3 linked regions of the Tamandua tetradactyla genome follow. The protein of the gene in region 3 purifies or fractionates together with the protein of the main gene of each other region. This does not show direct contact. Links are inferred from orthologs where the notes say so. Each region holds a gene or a part of one and is shown on either strand. Other genes may lie near its edges.

Region 1 (7,253 bases), on a different chromosome or scaffold from region 3:
CTCTATCTGGCTTCAAATGTTGTTCTTCGGGGTCTACTTCTAGTACTTCTCTCAGTCGGTACACAGTATTACCTAATTCAAAGACTTCATCTAACAGCATATTTAAGCTGATGACCCTCATAGCCAGAACGTTCTCTCCCACTTTAAATTCATACTCAGCAGATGTTTACACATGGATGCTTCACTCAATATATACAAAAGCTAAAATATTGCTTCTCCTCAAATTTGCCCCTTTTCCTAAATTCCCTTACTCACTAGATTGCATCACTGTCTAATCAATCACCAAAATTAAAATCCAAGTCATCTTATCTTACTATTTCTCCTTCACTCCCCAAATCTAATTGCCACCAAGTCCTATGGATTCTACCTACTGAATATTTCTATTAACCTAATCCTCTGTAATCCTACTGACACTGCCTTAGTTTAGATCCTTCTATCACCTCATTCACTGCAGAAACCTCCTAAGCAGTTTTTCTGCATCCAACCTCACTTTCCCTCCATTCTTTCTGAAAAGTATACTCCTTAATACCAGTATGATCACTCTCAAATGAAAACCTTACAATGTTTCTTTACTGATTAAAATTCCTATACTCTATCATTACCTACAGGAAAAAAAATGTCTAAAATTCTTAAATGGCATGTGGTGCTTTTGAGGATCTATCTGTATAGCCTCATCTTCTGCTACTCAACACCACAAATCCAATTCTACTACAGAAAACAACTTTTCATTCTCATAAATGTGTTATGTTCTCTCTCTCCCTCTTGTCTTTGTTCAACTTTCTCTTTGCCTGAAGTCCCTTTCCCTCCCTTTTCTGCCTTAGTCATGTCTAAATTTTCTTTAACTTTAATGGCATAAACTGTAAAGCATCTAATTTTTAACACATAGGAGGGGGTTAAAAATAGGTTCAACTGGCTTAGGTCTCGCTTCTTTGTCGTGTCTCAATGGCTCCCATTTGCCTACAAAATAAAGTTGAAATTACTTTGATGACATATGAGACATAAATCCATAATTTGGTCTCTGCCTACCCCACCCCCAATTTCATGTCTAGGTTGCCATACTTTTGGTCACACTATTCCTTTTAAATGCCCATCCTTTCTATATCTGTATATATATTTTTACTTACCACCCCCCTCTTCTTCAATTCCTCCTTCACTTCCCTTGAGAAACTGATAGCTATCTCCTTTGTACACACATCATACCCACAAACTTTTTTTTCTAATCAAAGTATTCATAAAAATGTATTGTACTGAAACAAAAAAATAAAAGTAACAACAACGACAAAAAACGAAAACAAAAAGATAAAACAAAAAAAGTATTGTGCTTGTTGACAGTTCAAGTAAGGGATACAGTCTCACCATCCTGAAGGCAGGGATACTGCCTTATTCATCTTTAAGTCTTCTTTACCTGGCATGGCACCTGCTGCACGATAATTCCTCTACCCTAAATAATCTGCATTTTTCCTTGTCCTCTCTTACATAATCTAATGGAAGCTTCTATTAGAGATTTTCTTTCAAAATAGAAGATACTTTCAGGTTACATTCTGGGCCTAAATCTCACCTTGAGATAAAGGGTACAAATTAAAGTTAATATGCATTTTCTAATAATATTTTTAATCTTTCTACATTAAGGGAGAAAAGGTCCCTGTAAGATCAATAATGAAAAATAATATTTTGAAGAGCTAGCAAGTTAGGTATAATGTAGTTTTGTTTTTAAGATACTTTGTTTAAAGAATTGCTTGTCAATAGTTACTCAAATTAGTCTGCCAGACTTGGCAGCTATGGGTCAGACAGAAAAGCAGGAACCACTCTCCCGACTTCTTTCCTACCCCATCTACTGCTGACACAGCTTACATTAATTACTCATTTTGAGGAAGATACTCAGAAAACATCAATGCACTAAGATAATTCTAAACGTAGATGTGATCTTACCTTTCTCATTACAGTCCCATTTATTCATTTAGAAATGCTGCCTCCATGGGCTCCAAACCAAAAGTGGCCCTATTCCTTGGCACCACTTAATTTGTGAATATCTGCCCCACTATATTGGAGTGCAGCCCAACGTACTGCAACATTAGAATACGTCCACTCCACCAACCAAAAGTGTCAGTGAAAGTGTTTCTAATCCTGCCGGAAGGTGTAACTCATTGTTCAAACGAGTGTACTTTTCTTACATGCACGTTCAAAACACTTCGAATTAAAAATTTAATCACATTCAAGAACTCGAGTAGGCCGTAGAGGAAACACGCTGCTTGCTCAAGAGGGCGACTCTGTAGTAAGGAATCCCAAAACTTGAAACAGCACACTTACTTCAGGTAAAGCTGAGGCTGGAATAGTTTGTAAAGCCTGGTTCATTCTCAAGGCCACGATAAACTTAAAAAAATTTTAAATTAATAATTTTTAAAAAGCTGACCTCATTGCAGAGCATTTGGGCACATGCACACTTGAGAACGGGTCGTGAGAAGCATTCTCAACTCCAAATCTGTCGGTCCGTTCCCACTGAAACCTGAACTAAGGGCTGTCGTGCCCGAAGGAGCCCGGGGCTCCACCACCCGCCGGGGCACAAATCAAGCGCCTATCTCCAGTCCCCTGAGCAAGCGCTGGACGAGGGTCAACATTCCGGGTAAGAACTAGGAGATAATAACAATGATGAAAAGGGTCCGAGTCCCCTCTCCTCCGCTCAGCGTGCTCCCGAAGGGCTCTCCTACCGCGCGGGAAAGCAAGGCGGAGGCCCCCCACACCCAGAGAGCACCCCACCGCACGTGCGGATGCCACCAGGGGAGGCCTGCCGGCCAGTGGACGGGACAGACAGCAAGGGGGGACAGCACCCCGGCCCGGGAGGAACCCTCACGGGGCAGCCACGCCCCCCAGCCCCCAACTCCAACCCCGACAAGCGGTCAGCACCAGCCCCGCCCGCCGCCTGACAGACCCCGGGGCGAGGCCGGGGCCGCAGGATCCCTGGGTACGCGAGGGGCTCTGCGGCGACCACGGCACGCCACCACTCCACACGACTGACCTGTGCGCGCCGCCGCGCGACCGCCGCCCCAGCCGCCGTCGCCACCTCGCGCTCACGCTGCCGTCGCCGCCGCCGTCACCGCCCCCCGCGCCGCGCCCCTGGCCGGCCTCAGGAACCCCATCCCCACCCCGCCCAGCCGCCGCCTGTTTACAATGACTGGGATGGAACGGGACGAGCCGGCCCCGCACGCAGGCGCACTCCCTCCCCGCGCCGCTTCCGGGTGTCCTGCTGCTGCAGGCTGACGGCTAAGGCCGTCGAGGGCCCCTCGCGCGGGGCACGCTGGGAGGCGCAGTCCGCGGAAACCCGACGTTCGGGCCGCGGGAGGACGCCGTGCGGAGGGTGTGCACTACGATACCCAGGAAGCATCGCGCGCCCTGCGGCCCCGGGCGCGCTGTGGTCACCGAGAGCGCGAGTGTGCGCGACGCGCTGGTCCTGCGCCGGCGCCTGCGCAGTGCGCGGCCTTGGGAACTGGGTGGGCTGCCTGCCCGGAAAAGGAGTGAACGGCGGTGGTTTGGGGGCTGTTCCCGTGGTGGTCCCTCCGCGTCCTGAGCCGCCTGTCCTCGGCTTTCGAAGTCCAGCCCTTGCTTATTGCCAGCGGGCTTCAGTGGTGCTAACCGGTTAAACCAGCCTCGGAGGCCGGCCCAGCCTGCCGCAGGGTGGGGCGAAATCCTGGCCTTCAGCTGGGCGGGGGACCGTTCATTTCGGTGGGAACTCTTTTGCTTGGGGGTTTTGGGAAGAGGAAGCGACGTGGACTTGTGGGGGGAGACTTGTAAAAACTGTCGGGATCGTCTGCAAAATTCCTTGGTCCCTGTGGGGCAGCGGACAGCTGCCTGCCCGCCACCCATCCCTTTGGCGCCACGTTTACGAAACACCTGGATAAGAACTGCCCAGCTGCATATTTAAGGCACCGGTAGAACTGGAAATAGTTGGGTTTCCTCCAGAACCGAGGGCGTAGAAAAGTCCTTTGTAAAGGACTTGAAGAATTGTTCTAATGTACATTGAGGGCTGGAAAGCAGGGTCTTATCACTTGTTCTTGCTTTATGAAAGTAGGCAGTTTTTTAGGGAAGAAGTGGGGTTTGGGACAGATAGATGGTCGTACCCAGTCGCTTCCTTTACTACCTGCATTGCTCTCTTTAAAACTTCATTATATATTTGGATTGGCAGGCCACAATCAGCCGACACTATCCCTCCCAGATCAGTTTTTCTCAAATCTAAGTACAGATTTATCTTCTGTACTCTGCATGTCCTACCCAGTAAAGTTCAGCGCCCCCCTCAGTCTTACACGCAAGAGCTTCCCACAATTGGATGCTGAGGTGGTCTGTGGTAGCCACTGTTTTTTCAGACTGCCCCAAAAAAGTTCTCATCACTGCTTCTGGAAACAACAGTTTCCTCTGACCACTGGGGTAGGGATGTAATCATTCATATCACTAGACCCTGTGCTCTGGCAACGCTGATTGGGCCAAGGAACAGGCACTGACCCAAGCTAGGTCCATGCCAGAAGTTGCTGAAAGGACGCAAAGAAGGGAGAAAAAAGGTTTCTGCTGAGGTCACTGCTGATGATTATATTCCATGCAATATCTGTTTGCAGTAAGAATGAACGTGGCCAATTGAGATTGCAAAGAACAAAGAAAGGAGAAATGGAGGAGAGAAAGCAATTCGTAGCATGTATGCAGTTGGTTGGGGCTCAGAGCCGGTATTTCCTGCAACTCGTCTCTATGTGCTATGAGTCTATGAGTCTAATGACTCAATATATTCATTCATGTACTCATTATTATTAAGGGCTAATGTGTGTGATTATAGAAGATATTTGTTAGTTTCCTCCCAAATATTTGTTCCTCCCATTTAAGCCATGCAGCATATCCATTCTCTGTGACAATTATGATAGTTTCAGAGAGATATGTATAGCCCAGTCAGAGTCAATGAATCCCACAGAAACTTGTGTTGGGGCCTCTAGGAAAGTGCAGCTTTCTTATGTTCTGATGTTGTTAGTTTGCAAGTTGCCGGAATACAACATGCCTGAAATGGAATGGCTTTTTAGAGGGGGAATTTAATAAATTACAAGTTTACAGTTCTGAGGCCATGAAAATGTCCAAATTTAGGTGCCTACAAGAGGTTACCTTCACTCAAGAAAGGCTGATGAAGTTTGGGGGTTCTCTGTCAGCTGGAAGGGCACATAACGATGTCTATCTTTCTCTCCCGGCTTCTGGCTTCGTGGAGTTCCCCAGGGGCTTTTTCCTTCCTTATCTCCAAAGGTTTCTGGCTGCGTGGACTCTTTTGGTTCTGGTTGCTCCAAAGTTTTTTCCAAAATGATTCCGTCTTAAAGGGCTCCAGTAAGCAACCCCACCTTGAATGGATGGAGACACATCTCCATGGAAACCATCTAATTAAAAGTTACTACCCACAATGGGATGGGTCATGTCTTCATGGAAAAAGTCAAAAAGGTCCCACCCAGCAATATTGAATGAGAATTAAAGTACATCGCTTTTCTGGGGTACACAACCGATTCAAATCAGCACAGGTATGGTCTACGAATATGAGAACTGAAAAATGTGGTAACATTTTGCACCTGTAAAGAGAGAGCCTGGAGGCATGGGGTTTAAAAGGGAAGGTGTTGGTTGAGCTTGAGGATGACACGAATACTGTCAAATAAGTACCAGAAAGATGGAACAGAACCTTGCTCTTGGTGACACCATTAGAGCTACACAATCAAACCTCACCTGAAGCAAGACTTGTGCCTATAGACTGTTCAGTATTGTGAGCCATACAATTCCCATATTGGTTAAGCCAGTTTGTGTTGGGTTTTCTGTGACTCAAAGTTCTGAAAGTCTTACCTCATTCAAATTAGATTTCTTTTACATGAAACTGAAAGGCCCCTTAAGAATAAATTATAAAAGGGATTTTGTCTATGACTGTGTGACATGACTGGCAATTCCTTTGAACCTAAAACGAGTATGAAACTAGACAAAATTGTCCAAAACAGCAATTTCAGGGCACCAGAAATCAACCGAACAAATTGAAGTATCTTTTCTTGGAAACCTGCTAGAACTTCCAAAAAAAACAGGAAATCTGCGACCTTCTTGCTTGAGGCTATTCTAATCCAGTCCTATTGCCCCCGTTCCATTGAACCAGAATTCTAGTTTTACCATGGTGGACCAGGCTAGCAAAAAGATTAGCAGCTTTGCTGCAAGAGGGGATGGACTACATTTGTTGTGGGAAGTCAAAATTCACAGTATTACAGTAAAATTTGCATGCTCGGGTGAAAATAAACGTGGAAAACCCACAATTTTGCTAACTACAAGTGGGGCAAATGACAAAGCAACCAGAAACATCTTCCAACAGGAAGATATCGGTAATAGACTCATCTGAGGGCTAAAATAAGTTCTTTAAATGCCCCTGGCTGGCTGGGAAACTATTCACATGCATGGAGGTGAGTGAAGGGACCCATTGAAAGCTGAAAGCCAAGGGAAACTTGAGAACTGGTGGCAACTTTGATTGCATCTCTTAATCCACCCAAAGATCTACTGGCAGAGGGAGGAAGATTTACAAACCCACGATGTTTGAGTAAAACTTTTGCCCAAATCATTATCTGACCACTCAGCTATGCAGATGCAGAATTAAATCAGAATTAAAAAACAGCAGACACATCAGAAACAGGACAAGGATGCCCACTGTCACCACTGCTATTCAGTGTGGTACTAGAAGTTCTAGCCAGAGCAATTAGAAATAATAAAAGGCACCCAAATTGGAAAGGAAGAAGTAAAACTTTCCCTATTTGCAGATGATATGATCCTCTATATAGAAAATCCTGAAGAATCCACACAAAGCTACTAGAGCTAATAAGCAAATTCAGCGAAGTGGCAGGGCACAAGATCAACATGCAAAAATCAGTAGTGTTTCAAAACACTAGGTAATGAACAATTTGAAGAGGAAATTGAGAAAAATTTTCCATTTACAATAGCAACTGAAAAAACTAGTATCTGGGAATAAATTTAACTAAAGACTTGTATGTGGGAAGATACAAAATACTGCTGAAAGAAATTAAAGAAGACCCAAATGAATGGAGGGGCATTCTGAGTTCAGGATCAGAAGACTAAATATTAAGATGGCAATTCTTCCCAAAGCAATCGACAGATTAAATGCAATACCAATCATAAATTCCGACAATCTTGGAATGAGACACTTCAGATGTCTGTCTCTTCACAGAAGCTTTGCACAACGAGCAAGAACTGGCAGAAACATC
Region 2 (8,071 bases), about 92 Mb from region 3:
CCTAACTCATAATAGCAGTGACTACTAAATGAAAAAATCAGTTTCACAAGCAAAGGTGGCAAACCTTGGTTTTACTGTGATGTCCGTCCTTCACTCCTTTCTTTACTCAACAGGAATTTAAATGAGTTACTCCAGGCACTCTGCTAGGAAGCAGAGATACTTGGTGAGCCAGACAGTCTCTGACCTTCCGAAAGGTGTATTACAGGAACACTACCAAGATGGCAATCACAGTCAAAAGGTTTCTACTCGCAGCCTAAGGTATATAACTTATTCTGGCACGTTATACACTTCAGAACATGGTTCTAAGTGTCCTAAAAAACCAAATAAAATTTAGGAGGTGTTCAGTGAGGATGGGATGCAACGCCAATAGCTCTCCAACTTCACCATACAAGAAAAATTCCTGGAGAACTTGTTGAAAATACTGATTCCAGGGCCCTACTCCCAGGTAGGCTGATTCTGAGCTCAGGACAGAAACCTGTTTTGTTTTAACACATACCTGAGTTAACGCTGAGGTAAGTAAGCTGAGAGGTCCAGACACTGAGAAATTCAAACAGTTAAGTGAGTAAGAAGGGATTGATCATTTAGAAGAAACAAAAAGCTTAAGAAAGCTCTACAATAGTGGAATGTGAGCTGTCCTCAGTAATATAATGTTCTATAATTCACAAATTTAGTAAATTAAGAAGACAGGTAAGAGTAGAGGAATTTACCAGCACCTCCTCCTTAATCTCTTACAGATTTGAGTTTCTCAAACTAAGCATCTGGGGAAACAGTAAGCTTAGCAGAAATCTACCAATATTAGAGATAAGTATTAAGAAAAAGGAAATTCCTAGTGAACTGCAAAAAAAAAAAATGCTGAGTGACAAACATTTCATGGAACTAACTTATTAGTACTCATTTTATGCCCTATTTCACAATGCTTAGTATCTGAACAATCCACAGGGTTCCAAAGTACATTAAAAATGTGTTCATTTCCTCTTACTCAGGCAGAATGATAATAGAGTCTTGTGAAGGTACCACGTGCCTTAGCAATTTCTATCAGAAATGCCCATTCCTGGAGCTACTTAAAGGAATTTGAAATAATTTTAATGCCATCACCAAATTAGTGTCCCTCATTTATTAACTTAGATTACTTTAAAATTCCTGGGTTCTTTGCAAACCTTCATGCAGAAAGAGTTCTTCAATACTTAAAAAAAAAAAGTTTTTATTTATAAGCAATCACCCATCGAAACAACCTAAATATTTCAAGTAAAAAAAAAATTAAACATAGTATTTGTTCTCAGAGATGGAATAATTTTGAGATGCCTTTAAGCTTCTGCACTATCAACTTTAAAGTCATCTAAAAATAAAAACCCAACAAATACATTTACCATTATTTTAGGGGTTAAGAGTAGCACCACGCAAAGCAGTTGACCTGCTGGGACCCTGGCCCACTTCTAGCCCTCAGACCCTGTCCTCTACAAAACCCATAATAAGATCTCTGAGCCTGTTTCTTCATAGGTTCAACCGGATTAGTAAAACTGCCTCCCTGCTACATCTTCCAGATGGCATGTGTTTGTTATTGTACTTGTTTTTTATTATCTGTAGCTTTTATTATACTTGCTTTTAAATCAATACTTTTTGACCACGAAAGTAGTAAGAGCAGGATGCCAACAGATGGGCACAAAGAAACGCAAGTCTGCATACATTTAAATTTTCAGGTGGATGCTGCTTTCAGAATAGCACCGATGACGGCAAAGTTTTTAAGAAAACTTTCATATTTGAGGCAATCAAAAATCTCCACCGCCTCATACTCAATTACAGAAACCGCTAATCTATTTCTTCAAAAGCAAAGCTTTCTTCAGCGTCTGAATCACGACAAAAGATGCCCGTAGGAAATGCAATCTACGAAGTTATCTTCTCATCCAAAGACAGAGCGAAGGAAGGTACAGCCTCTTCCTCGTTGGTTTCCTTTTCCTGGGGACTCTAATTACATTTCCTCGTTTAGTTCAGGCAAGAAAAGACCGCAGTCGTGCCTTAGAGGTCACACCATAAGACCCTGTCTGTGCGTAAAGGAGGGAAGGCGAAGTGGCACTGGAAAGGGAGCTGATTTTGGTTAAATACCATCAGTCAGCCCAGGCAGGGAGGCTTGGGGCCAAACGGCATTGACTGCCCTTCAATGACAGGGATTCTGCAGGCGCACGAGGCAGGAGGAGAAGGCATGAGCCGACGGCGCGAGGCCGGAGAGGCGGTGAGAGAGGCGGGCAGCAAGATACCGTTCCCCGTGCGTCCCGCTTCCCCGGGAGGCTGGCGGGGAGGTGAGGCTCCGCCAACCCGCCACACTCCGGCGGCCGAGGGCAGCGAGGTCAGCCCTGGAAGGACCCACCGCCCCCGACGCCCCTCAAGGACGGAGGTCGCTCGCCGGCCAGGGCTGAGGGCGCCCACTCCCCGCGAAGTCCGTCCCGCGGCCGCCACCCCCACGGGTCCCCGGCGCCGGTCAGCCGGCCGCCCCGCCGCGGCCCCAGGGAGGACCGGGAAGAACTAGGCGGAGCACGGCCGGCGCCGCACCTCCCCAGCGCGCGGCAGAGGGCGAAGGGTGGCCGGCAGGAACGCGCGCCGGCCGTGGGTAGGGCGCCCCGGGCGGCCATCGCGCCGACCCCCGCCGCCGCCTCCCGCGGTCCAGGCCGCCGCAGTCCAGCCCGCTCCTCACCTCATCTCCAGGCGGGTCCGCGCTGCCGCCCTGGGGACAAATCAGTGCAGCTCACCCGCAGCGCGGATGGACTCAGGAGCCACAACCCCGCACAACATCCCCGCCCGCCCGCCTGCCGATCCGTGCGTCCCGGAGCCCGCACGGGATTCTCCCTAGCGAGCCGCCGTACTACGGAGCAACCAAGCTGCGATCCCTCCTCCCTTCGCTCCTCTGCTCCTCTCCCTCCTTTGCTCCTTCGCTCCTTCGCTCCCTCCCTCGCCCCCGCCTATCTCTTCTTCTCCGTCGGCCTCACCCCCCCACCTATCTACCCACCCACATCTCCGCCCATAGGTGGGCGGGGACATCTAGCCTACCAATCATAAGAAGGGGTCCTCCCCTCTTCACGCTCCCTATCGCTAGCCCCGCCCGCCACGGGAGCGAAAGGTGGGGGAGCCGGGAAACTGGAAAAGGTAGGAGCGACAGCCGAATAAACCAATCAGCATTCTCAAATGGGGCGGGCGTAGGATTCTCTTTCGTCCCGCCCCCTCCACGAAGGCGTAACTGGAGGCTTCTGGTCCGGGCATTTACTGTCGACATTTATGGAGATTTTTGTGCTTCTGTCCGTTGCCGTTCGAAACACTAGATAGGGTGTATCCAACTAACTTAATTACAGAAGGCTTTAAAGGGGAGAAAATTATGGCGACAAAAGGGAGGCAAGGCACAATTTGAGGAAGGCTCTAGGAGATACGATTGGAATGAGGAAGGGTGTGGTCTTTCGATTTAAATTTGCATAAAATGGAACTCGTTGAGGCGACCACAACTCACGAGCTGAGCATACCGGGAATTGTAGTTCCCAGTTCGGTTGCTAGGGCGTTCTGGACAGCCTTCGGGAGTCCGGCTCAGCCCCGTAGGAGTGACGAACGAGGTGGCCAATAGGAACAGCGCCTTGGTCCAAAGGTGCGGCCTGTCTGCGAAAGCCCTGGAAGGTGGCTGTGGCGAAGGCGCAGGCGGTTGGGGCGGCTTAGAGGCAGGTGAGTCCCGGGAAACGCTCTGTGTCGGCTTGGAAATCGGGGTTTTGGTAAAAGGTCGAGAGGCGCAGCGCGGAACCGTCAGCTCCGGGAGGACGGTGATTCACGTCGCGGCCCAGCCTCAGACCCGCTTACGTCCAGGCCTAGCTAATAAGCTAAGGCCGCAGAGGGGCGGGTAGGGCTTGATTGATTTCACGGGCAATTTCCTGGCCCTTCACAGGTTACTAATTGCAGGTTTTATTTCACTTTGCATTTCCCTCCCCTCTTCTGGACGCAGAGGCCTGGATGTTCCATTTGTCTCGCAGATTGGATGTTTCCCCTCTATTTTTTTTGTTCATTTAATTTTTCTTTTCTTTTTTTTCCCCCCCGCCCCTACTGCTTCTCTCCCTCCGCTTGCTCTCTTATTCGCTAAACAGTTACCAGAGCGTATTTCCATTTATGTGGTTAAAAGGCCGCCCTTGCCCACTTCTTTAAGGTAAACAGCTGATGCTTAAAAATCGCCGGAGGACCTTGTTAAGGTACAAGTACTGGTTCTGTAGGTCGGGAGCGGATCCGAGAGTCTGCTTTTCTACCAAGCGCCCAGGGGCCGCCGTTCCACATTAGGTTCTCCATCAGTTTTGTCCAGTACAGATAGATATAATGCGAGCCACTTAGGTAATTTTAAATTTTCTAGTGGCCACATTAAAAAAAAAAGTATAAAGAAACACATGAAATAAATTTTAATAATATATTATTCATTTAAGTCAACATGCCCAAAATACAATTTCAACTCGTAATCGATGTTAAAACTTATTGAGATGTTTTGCTTTAATTTACTTTCCTACTAAGTCTTAAAAATCCGGTGTATCTTTTACACTTAACAGCACGTCTCAATTCCAGTTGAACACATTTCAGGTGTTCAGTAGCCAGCCACGTGTGGCTATTGACTACTGTGATTGGATAGCAGAGGTGCAGATGATATAATAGCAACTGAAAAGGTCAGGTTGCACTTGACCAAACCCTTTGCTGATGAGATGGATGGGTTCAGAACTACCTTGAGGTTCTCTGCCCAATTTACAGAAATAATAGTGAAATAACGAACATTTATTGAATGCTTATTTTATGCCAGGTATTGTACTGAGGGCCTTGCATGTATTGTGTAATGCACACAGCAACCCACTGAGGTAACTACTATTATTATTCCTTTTTATACATGGGGAAACTAGGGCCCAACAAGATTAAAAGAAGGTAGCCTAGGGTCAAATCTAGTTAGTAGGGGAGCCAGGATTCAAACTTCAGTCATTTAATAATTTCTTCATCCTATCTACCTACCCCTGCAGTATATAATTATTACCTTTTGCTGCTAATCTTACTTCATTGCTCTAGCTTATTATGGGAGGGATTCAGATGTTTGTATTTTCAGTGGAGTGGACTCCCCCCTACAAAATCAAGCTGCCTGTCAGGTGCAGTGAAATATTTTGGTAGTTTCACAACTTTGCATGCTGTGCATTTGAAAGCAAAGTTAGTTGCTTGGGCCCCTGGCCCAGGAATGAGTCTTGATTAATTTGTGTATCGCCTTGAAGAAGGAGGTGGGGCCGCTGAACCTGGGAATTCTAAAAATGCTCTTAATGGAATCACAGTGATTTTATTTTTGAACTCTGTTCTTTTAAAAATTGGTTAAAAAGTAAATTTCTTGTCCTTAGCCTGTGATCTTCATGAAGACTATTTTCAGAGACATTAGAAAAGTTATTTGTGCTCTTTCTAGACCCAGTGAACAGTACTCCCTTGAACTAAGAGTTTTTTGAGTAGAGGAGCAAGAATAGACACATGTATCCACCCATAATAAACTACAGTATTTTGCAAAATAATTTTCTATTTTTTATACATTATAATAAATGATACATCTTCTATGGAATTATTTTCTGTTGATTTTGCAGTTATTGTGAATATTCAACTGAACGTAAATCATATTTTGCACCTGAAGCAAGATTTGTTTCCGCAATATTTTATTGTGAATTGGAAAATTAAATAATACAGTCTGCTGTAATGTTAGCAGCTGAAGGGAGAGAAGTTTGGTGACAAATAGGAAGGATCCCTCAATTGCTTGTCACCCTCAACACCACCACACTCCACCTATAATGTCCCTGTGTTACATGAGTAAAACAGAAAGAGAAAACTGTCCCTCCTACTGTCATTCCCCAATGATAGCATACGGGAATATATGGTACTGAGTAATGTAATGTAAGAGAAAGTTAAGTTTCTGTTGTTCTGGATCATAAAATGTTAAATGGCCCTACAGTGAACACTAGTAACCTGACCATTTTATGATTACAAACTGGATAAAAGGACCATCCCACCACCTCTCCACCCACCTCCGATTGCACCGCATCCCCAGAGCTGCTGGCAGGAGAGTGCCTCATGTAAGAAATCCTAGATTCCAAGTGAAAATGTGTTTTATACATGAACAGATAATAAAAGTAAAAACAGTTATTGTGGGGAAGGGATTAAAGTCATGAATTTTCTGCTATTTTTAAGGGGCCACTAAGTACATGCTGGGAACCGCCATTGCACAGAGAAAAAGAATTTGACATCCTTTCTAAGCAGTTGCCTGTTTTCCTTCTGCCTAAAGCTCATATCAAAAAGAATATTTTTCCTTTTCTGCTTTTTCACCCTTTCATCCATTTTTGTATCAGGTTGCATAAAAATATAGGTTATGCCACATGTGTATCCATTCAGTCAAATATATCTTAATGTTCATAAGAACCTAGATTGCCATAATTAGAAGAGACCTTAATGGTCCTCTCAGCACCCTCTCCCCCTCAACTGATGCTTGAATCCCCTTTAAGAAGCCTCCATAAGTGCTTACCCAGGCTCTGTTTAAGTCCTTCCTGAAATAGACCACTCTAGAGTTCAGTTAGATACAAGCGAGACAGGGTCCCCTGTGCCATTTTGTAACAGCAGTGCAATTGTATGCAGCAAAACAATATCACCTTGGGTCACTGCTTGTACAGTCTCCTTAGAGTTTACAGATTTCTAAAGACAGAAAAGTTTCCTACACCAGGCTCAGAAGTTTTCCGGCAGTTAAGACTATTCCCCTCCCTCTTTGATTTAAGTAACAGAGTTGGCATATCTAGTTAGGGTGACCATTCTCTACAGCCTGCAAAGTGTTACTTGAACCAAACCTCCTCTTTGTTGATTTTGATTATGCTGACCATATTTTTTAACCAAATATTTGGACAGATATCTTTTTCTGATTTGTGGATATATATGAAAAATCTCACAGGTTAATTAAAACATTGTTCAAACTTAATATTGTCACCTCTTCCCAAGTGATCAAAATATAAGTGAAAATTTCACCCTAAAACTCTAACGAGTATCATGCTGTTCACCAGTCCTAAGGTGGGATGGGGAATAGAGCATTGGAGATGCAGCTGGCCAGAGCCTGAACTGATGACCTGAGTGGATGGGGTAACATTTCGGAGTTAACTCCGTTTGTTTTTCTGTAGCTTATTTGCTTGACATTTTAATTTCCTTAAAATAAAAAACGAGGGTGGCTGAACACCGAACTTAAAGTAACTTTAGTATTGCAGAGTTTATGTTGGACAATAATAGAAATATATTCATGTAAACAAAAAGAGTTTGGACCTTCAGAAAATAAGATGACCATAGGGTAACATGTTGATTGGCCTTGCAGCAGCCAGTGGCTATAACCCAAGCCTGAGGCATTGAGTTAATCAGCAAATCACTGTTAGGAGGTGGTTCTAGTTTGCAAGTTGCCAGAATGCGATATACTAGGTACGGAATGGTTAAAAAAAGGGGGAGTGGAGGTGGGTAGGAATTTATTAAGTTGCATGTTTACAGTTTTAATGCTATGAAAATGTCCAAATTAAAGCAAAGCTGTAAAAATGTCTGATGTAAGGCATCCAGGGAAAGTACCTTGGTTCAAGAAGGCCTATGACATCAGGGTGTCTCTCTCAGTTGGAAAGGCATATGGTGAAAATGGCAGCATCTGCTAGCTTTGTCTCCTGACTTCTTGTTTCATGAAGTTCCCCTGGGAGCATTTTTCTTCTTCACAAACAAAGGTCTCTGGATGCATGGGCTCTGTAGCTTTTTCCAAAATGGTTCCCTGTTAAAGGGCTCCAGTACAAAACCTCACCTTGAATGGATGGAGACACATCTCCATGGAAACCATCTAGTCAAAAGTTATCCACAATTGGGTGAGTCACATCTCCATGGGAACAATAAAAATGCTCCTGCCCAGCAATATTGAATGATAATTAAAGGACATGGCTTTTCTGGGGTGCACAAATTCAGACTGGCACAGAGGTAAGGGTGGCCCCTGAAAATGAGCAGATGAGCCAGGACATTATAAAGGAAAAATAGGTTTTGTGATTGATAA
Region 3 (7,318 bases):
CCACCACCAGCCAATGGACAAACAGCCACCATGGCCAAGTCAGCCTGTCAGCTGGGAAACCAAGGAGCTAGGGGCTCTGTAACATATCCATTCTGTCACTGCTTATCCCGAGCTTTTTGAGGGAGGAAAACGGCAGGAGGAACCAGAAAAGCCTAGCTTCATTAGAGCTGCTGAGGCTAGGCTATGACCCCTCATTCAGAAAAGAACAGTGGTGAGTAGGTTGCGGCAGAATGAGAGGTGAGGCTCTGGTTCCTTGTTGTAGTCTCAGGGACTCATGACAAAGAACTGTTCTGGGTCTGCTTCATATAGGCCAGAAAGGGAGCAAGGCCTTCCTGTTTTTCCCTCAGTGACTGTGGTTTGCTTCAGGCTTGCTCAGGACCTCTCCTCTAGGAATGGCCTAGAGGAACTGAAAATGGCTGAATCAGCAGCCTGGCTACTTCTGAGAAAGGGGGGGTGGGGAGGATTTGGCAGCCTGGGGAGGTTTTTGAGAGAATCCAGTGAAGGCTCCCACCGTGAAATGTGAAAAGGGCTTTTGAGAACAAGACTTAGTTGGATTAGGACTTGCAGCCTGGCCACTAATTCCACTCAGAGGAGGAATCAACCTGCCTGGGAAAAAGCATTCATTTCCTCCAGCAACCAGGTCTGTCACTAAGAGAAACAAGGAAGCATGAAGGGTAGGAGTCCTAAGCCTGAGGCAGTTACACGATTCTACAAGTCTCACCTAGCAGCCTGCAAGCTGGGTGCCAGGCCAGCACACCTAATGGGAATCAACTTGTACTAGCTGAGCTTCCAGGATGCAGCAAGGGGCGAGGGTGGTACAAGTCAAGCCTCTGCTAGGAATAAACCTAGTCTTGCATGCTGAGGAGAGGGGCAGGGGTAGTAGGGGCATAGATGGCTCAGCCAGAGGACTCACCCGATGTCATCTCGGTAGACCCGGGAGATGAGCACCTCCCCCTTGTGATTATAGATGAATAACCCTCCAATCATGGCGGCAGCTCAGTCTCCACAGTCCATTGCTCTTAGAACAGGCCTAGGACAGGAAGGGACAGGGTAAAGGAAGGTCTAAGAACCCCTGCAACATTCCCTGTAGGGTGGTGCAGGTCACTGGTGGGGCTTTTTTCCTGACTCAATCCTTGAGCAAGTGATCCTGCAGCCCTTCCAGGCATGCCCCTCCCTTCAGCCAGGCTCCAGTTCCTGTTTATTCCACACTGGAAGGACGAAAAAGACTGCGAGGGACTTGGGCCTAGGATCTAGGCCATTTTGACCCTCCTTTTTCTGGGGCTGAGCCCAGACGGTGGCCCCCTCCCCCTCTTCACATCACTGAGCTCAGAGAGGCTCCTTTTTGGCCCCCTCCTGTGCAGATTCTCATTCAGGCTCCAGTTAGTGAGTCACTGCGGCTGGAGGAATGGCGGTAGGAATTACTCCAGCTGGTTCAGGCATGGGGCCCCCAGGCACAGCCTTAGGAGCTCTCAGGATCTACTACCCTTCTAAGAAGGCAGCAGGGCCAGAACTGCCAGCTCTCTAATTCCACAGGCTTACACATTCCAGGAAAGGGTGTGCAGGGTGAGGGAGGAAGAGAGAAGGGAGGCTTCAGGCCCTGACATGGACCTAAGTGTGTGGCCCCAACTTCTCCCAGGCAGTCAGATAAGCAGGCAAAAGAGCCCCCGCCCTGACAGACAGACTATACTTCAGTGACCCAAGCTTTGCTTACCACAGTTATTTTCAAAATGAGAGGTTCCCTCTTAAATCCAGGGGATGGGTTGGAGGTTGATTTTCCCATCTGAATTTCTGTTATTCAGACCCACCAATTAACTCACTTCTAGTCTGAGTGCCCATAAGAAAGGGGCAAGGATGTCAGATATTCTTGAATTACCCAAATTATTTGGGTCAAACTAATTTAGACAGTTTGAGAGGAGAAAAAGAGTTAATTTGGTTCTAGATTTCCTAGGTTAGCCCTGGTATTAATTTCATAGGGGAGAGTTTAGCAGGCTTTTCTAAACTGGAAAGTAGACTTTTACTGTGGCCATCAAGGTCTACCAGACTAGTGAGAAGTCTCTCAGGGTGGTGGACACATCCCAGCCCGCAGTCCCAAAGAAGCTGGAAAAGGAAATGCAAAATGGAGGGAGAGTCCTCGGCAAAGAACGAAGTTCACAGGTATCAAGTGGTAGGTAGCTCCAGGGCACCAGAGCAGCAGAGTTGGGGCCCAGGACAGGAATGGAATATTTAGCCAAGGGAGAAGACCAGCAGCCACAGCCAGGCGGCATACTCAGGTGAACCCATACAGCGGGAAGTAGAGCTACGAAGGCGCCTAGAGGAAAGAGTTTCTAGTCTGGAAAAGGTGGGGCTGAGGAGGAAAACCCGGTATGGACAGATTGACAACAGTGAATAAAAGAAAGCTGGGGAGACGGAGTCTGCTCTGCGGTTTGGGTGCAGAGGCGTAAGAGGGTAGTGGGCTTTCCGCCCAGTGGACAGGGACCGCCGCGGGAAAAGATGGTGCAGCGGGGTGCGGGCTGTGTCAGAGGACTGAGACCCTGGGAGGAGGGGGGTGCCGGGGCTGGGAGACTTGTCACAGTTCACGGAGGTGGATCGGGGGGTGTCACTGTCCTAGGAGATGGGAGAAACGTCCTTGCGCCGAGAGGAGGAGGCGCCGAGGGGTAGAAGGTTTGTCACGATCTTGGGGAGGGGGGAGCCGCGCGGTGTCCTTGCTCTGGGAAGATTCTAGTGCTTTTCCCTCTCCCACGAAGCGCCAGGCAGGTCAGGTGGACGCTCCCTGACCATCCCGCAACCGCGCCCGGGGCGCCCGAGTCTCGCCGTCAGCTCCCTCCCGGATCCGAGGGCTGAGGCCACTCCTGGGTGTGGGCAGCTTTCCGCGTAGCGCCGTGCAGGCAAGGGCAAAGCTGGGCGGCTGGATAGGCGACCCGCGGCGCTTTTCTCCACCCCTCAAAGCCAGATCCCGCTCTCACCTGGTGTCTGCGGCCCCCCGCTCGGCCGGCCGGGCCACTCCAGCGATCCCAAGATGTCCGCCCGCCCCCTGCTCGCCAGCCCGCTGCCTCGGCTTTCACCGCAGTGCCGCGGCCCCGCCCCGACCTCTGCTGCGCGTGCGCGTTCGTCCTCTGCCAAGACTACAAGTCCCGTCAGACCCCTCGGCCTTCTCGCTTAAGTTGTGAGAGGTCTAAGTTTAGGAAAACTACAACTACCGACAGCCTTCGGGAACGCGCCCCGCCCTTTGGGCGTAGCCTTTATTCCATCCCGTCCGAAATACACATCCCCGCGTACGCCGCCCCGCCCACCCTATTTTCCCCACTAGGCATTCTGGGAATTGTAGTCTCTGCTTTTACCCCTGTTTTGGAGCGGCTTAGAGGATTAATGCCGCTTGATTGAAGCCCATCTGTTAAGCACTCTATTGTAGGCCTTTTCAGTCTCCGGAGTCCGAGGATTGGCAGTCCTTACTTTACACACAAACATACGATTTGGCTGTAAAGAGTGGGTGCTGAAGTTTACCGCTTTCTAATAGGCAATCGAATCTGATTTCCTAAGCTTTTTCATCATATATTTGGTCCAATAACGTACCTTTTTCCAGGAATCAAGACCCGCAAGGAGAGTGGGGGCAAATACTTGGAAGAAACAAGCTGAGCTTTTCATGGATAAGTCTATGTTCTATCTCAGCTATGTCTATATGATTGAGCTCCTCAAGGCCAGGACCTGTATGCCTTCTAGTTACAGAAATATATATTGCTCAGAGATATGGTGAGTTGACTTCAACTGGGCATGGGATTTGAAATCCTCTCTTTGATGGACAGTTAATCTTCACATCCAAGCTGAGAGGAGACAAAGCCAATCCTCAAACAGGAAATGCCTGCCTGGCCTTTGCAGGACCTGACTGAAATCTGCTGGCTCTTCTTCATCTGACAGAGATGGCATCCTGCCTTCCCTGGGCAGGGCTGAGCCTGTCCTGGGAGGAAGGAAGGGCAAGAAAAGAAACCTGGTCGCAAACCCTACCATCCCTAGCATCCTCCTGCCGGAAGCTAGAATGTGGCAGGATGATCTGGCCTCCCTCAAACCATAATCACAGCCTGATATCACTAAATAAGTGAATACAGGCACTTCTGAAGCTTGAACCAGCACTCAAGGCTTCTGTCCCACCTTTCCAAAAGCTTTATCTTCCACACATATCTCTTAAACTCCTGCCAACTCAGTCAATAATAGTAACAATAACAACAGTAATAATAATAGCTACCATTTATTGAGCACCTACTCTACTACGTGCCTGGCACTGTGCTAGGCACTTTTCGTACAATATCTAATTTAAATCCTCACAACAACCCTGTGAGGTAGGTATTATTATCGTCATTTTACATATGAGGGAACTGAGGCTCAGAAAGATTAAATGATTCTCCTAGAAGGGGATGACTGAAAAGTAGTAGAGCTGGTATTCAAACCCAGAATGATCTGACTCCAAATCCCATACTCAGTGCACTAAAGTAGAGGCAGAGGGGAGAGGAAGGGCCAAATTCAATAGAGATTGCTGGAATAGAGTGGATATGATATGCTGACTGGTAAAATATGGGATGAAGGAATTATAGCCCATAAATGTTCTAGTTTATGAGCTTTTGTAGATGTGGTAAAGATAACCAGGATAGAATTCAAGAACATACTTGGTGGGGAAGATGATGACTTGAGTCCACATGGATATGTCCATAGAGTCCAGTGGATAATAAGAATACAGATCTAAAGTTTAGTGGGGAAGTTGGGGCTGGACAGATATGGGAACCACCAGCATATCAGTGGCAATTGAGGACAGGACAATCAATGACCATTTTGGGAATAAGTAGAAAGGAAAGAGAAATAGACCAAAGAAGGAACTTGGGGAGGGGGGGCACCGATACTAAAGACCTGTGTAGTAGTGGAGGAATTCTCAAGAGAGTTGAACAAGGCAGAGTCAGAAAGGGAAGAGAAGTACAGGAGACAGCCCTGTAGTGTGGCTAGAGGAAGCCATAGCCCTGGATAGGAGCAAACCCAGAGCTCCCAGAGGGCAGGGAAGACTGAGCACACTTCCAGCACAGCCCTCTGTTCACCAAAACTCTAGGAAGTATTTGTTCAATGAATGAATGCCAAAACGCTCCTACCTTGGTTTGCCCCAAAGCCTGGCACGAAGGACTTCACCTCACTCTTAACATTCCGACCTAGGTGAGTGTAGGTGAGCCAGGAGATTTTATGGCAGAGACTTAAAAAGAAGTTATGATTTGTTTAAAGGAGAGACTAAAGTAATACAAGAAAACTTGGCACTGTCTAGAAGTCCCAAAAGTTCCCCTGTCCAACTTCAACTGTCTCATGTGTTCCTGTGTCCTTGCTCTGGGGTCATGGTTAATGTGGAAACAAGGAAGCGTGTGTGTATGGTGGGGGCAGAGTGGTAGTGGTGACAATGGCCTTTGTCGGTTGCTTGGGGAGTCCTCTGCTGAGCCCACTTAGAGCCAGCTTATGGGCCTTATCCAGGTAGGACGATGAGAGGATGAGTGTGGGAAGCTTTACAACTATGATGAGGGGAGAGGGAAGTCAGGGAACCGGCCCCACAACCTGGGAAAGAACTGGAAAAGAGGGGTTCAGTCCTCTGAGCAGGGACCAGCCCTGAGATTAAGCAAACTTGTATAGCCACCTTGTGCGGTGTGTGTGTGTGAAAGAAAAAGAGAAGTAGAGAGAATGAGAGAGAGAGAACATTCACTTTGGAAAGGTGATTGGTGAGAGGCTGGGGCCCTCCCAAAGAAGCCTAGTGACTCAATAGGCTGAAAGTGTGGGTGTGGGGGCTGGACATCCTTGGGGAGCCCTGAGGGGCTGTTGAAGTAGGGCTCCTGGTCTCCTCGGAGGCCCTCGCTGTCGACTCACAGAAAGTCAAACAGCCCGAAATTCTTGGCTGCTCCAGGCCCAGGAAAAATTGGGGAAGGAAAAAACAAAGAAAAGAAATATTTCAGGCCCAGAGGTGAGACGAGCCTGTTTGTTAGTAATGTTAGGAGTCTGAAGGAGCCAGCACGCAGGCCAGGCACGGCGGGGAGTGGAGGGAAATTGAGAAGAGATGCTCGCTGGAATGTAATAGCAGCTCAAGCAACTGAGGGACCCTCTGGGCTTCTGGTCAGGGCTGAGCACAGGCAGGGACAGCATGGGTGGTTACTGGAGGTGACTATAGCTCTAGAGTGCAGGGCTGAGGCAGCAGGCAGGGAAAAGTTAGGGGCAGCAGATGAAGTGAAAAAAATTTTTTTGTGTGTGGTAGTTGGGTGGCAGCATTCTGGGGCAAAGTCAAGAGATTTGCACACATGCTTGAGAAGGTGGGTTAACAGGGAGCTGGTGTAGCTGAATGAACGGTGAAAAGGACCTGAGGGGGAAAAGGAAAGAATGGGGTGGGGTGAGCAGGGATCCCGGGACTCTGCTGGGGTCAGCTCCTAAAGTGTGTGTGGAGGGTAAGGTGTGAACAGCAGCAACAGCATGTCTAATCACCTGCAGGCCAGAGAAATGAAGTATCTTGGGAAGTCCGGTCTAGAGGTTAGTGGGTAGGGGGCAGAAGCCCGGCCAAAGGCAGGTTAGGGGCTGCAGAGCCAATTGGTGGGTATACTCTACCCTCCCAGCACCCCATAAGCAGTTAGGGTGTCTGGATTTAGTTCCGTTTATTTCCCTTTCAGGTACCAAAGTAAAAAAGATGGACGGATGGAGAGAGGGACGCAGCTGGCAGGGTGGGAAAGGCTGGCAGTGGGTGAGGGGCCCTGCTCACATCACATCCACAAAGAACTCACTGGGGTTTCCCATGGCCATGCGGAAGGACTGTCTGCTGGCGGTCAGTTCTGGGGGCACTGAGGCCAGGTCACGGCCCGGGGGGGCCCCTGGGGGCCCCAGGGCTGCGGGCGGTGGGGGCATCATCAGCATTGGGGGGCCGTAGAGTGGGGGCACACCAGGAGGCCCATAGCTTGGGTGCGTGTGGTGGCTGCGGAGGCTGCTGGCCAGCGAGTGGTGGCTGCGGTGGCTGTGCTCACTGGCTGCCGGGCCCGAGCGCTCGCTAGGAGCCCGCTCCCGCGGTCCCCGCAGGCTGCTGCGTGTTGTGTGGTCTGACTCGCTGCCACTGCCGCCTGACTTCGAGTCCCCAGCCTTTGGGTCCTTCTCTTTCCGCCGGTCGCTGCCACTGCGGTTGGAGCCGCTGCTCCGGCTGCCTGCAGGGGCCGGGTAGGGATGCTGAAATCCTGTAGAGCGAGCTGGGAGCCCGTCTGCAGCTCCCTTCCACACCCCCCTCTGCCTTACCTTCACTGTGCTGGCTGCTGGCACTGCCCCCGCCATAGCT

What was found. The genes of interacting proteins can lie anywhere in the genome.
Region 1: the proteins of AP2M1 (region 3) and RALBP1 purify together in Homo sapiens (affinity purification with mass spectrometry; 3 studies listed by BioGRID and IntAct, counting the BioPlex papers as one, with this or other methods). This does not show direct contact. The link is inferred for Tamandua tetradactyla from reciprocal best matches to the Homo sapiens genes AP2M1 and RALBP1.
Region 2: the proteins of AP2M1 (region 3) and ITSN1 purify together in Homo sapiens (affinity purification with mass spectrometry; 3 studies listed by BioGRID and IntAct, counting the BioPlex papers as one, with this or other methods). This does not show direct contact. The link is inferred for Tamandua tetradactyla from reciprocal best matches to the Homo sapiens genes AP2M1 and ITSN1.

The regions. Positions count from the first base shown.
Region 1 is NC_135344.1:73,019,285-73,026,537, reverse strand, and holds the start of RALBP1 (ralA-binding protein 1), read right to left. Parts: upstream 3,076-7,253; 5' UTR 3,014-3,075; intron 2,981-3,013; exon of another isoform or gene 2,927-2,980; intron 1-2,926. UniProt on the Homo sapiens protein: Multifunctional protein that functions as a downstream effector of RALA and RALB. As a GTPase-activating protein/GAP can inactivate CDC42 and RAC1 by stimulating their GTPase activity.
Region 2 is NC_135336.1:94,020,376-94,028,446, reverse strand, and holds the start of ITSN1 (intersectin-1), read right to left. Parts: upstream 3,076-8,071; 5' UTR 2,687-3,075; intron 1-2,686. UniProt on the Homo sapiens protein: Adapter protein that provides a link between the endocytic membrane traffic and the actin assembly machinery. Acts as a guanine nucleotide exchange factor (GEF) for CDC42, and thereby stimulates actin nucleation mediated by WASL and the ARP2/3 complex.
Region 3 is NC_135336.1:2,441,955-2,449,272, reverse strand, and holds the start of AP2M1 (AP-2 complex subunit mu), read right to left. Parts: upstream 3,078-7,318; 5' UTR 2,964-3,077; intron 1,031-2,963; 5' UTR 988-1,030; coding exon 914-987; intron 1-913. Other genes in the region: DVL3 (segment polarity protein dishevelled homolog DVL-3), read right to left, coding at 6,754-7,190, 7,279-7,318.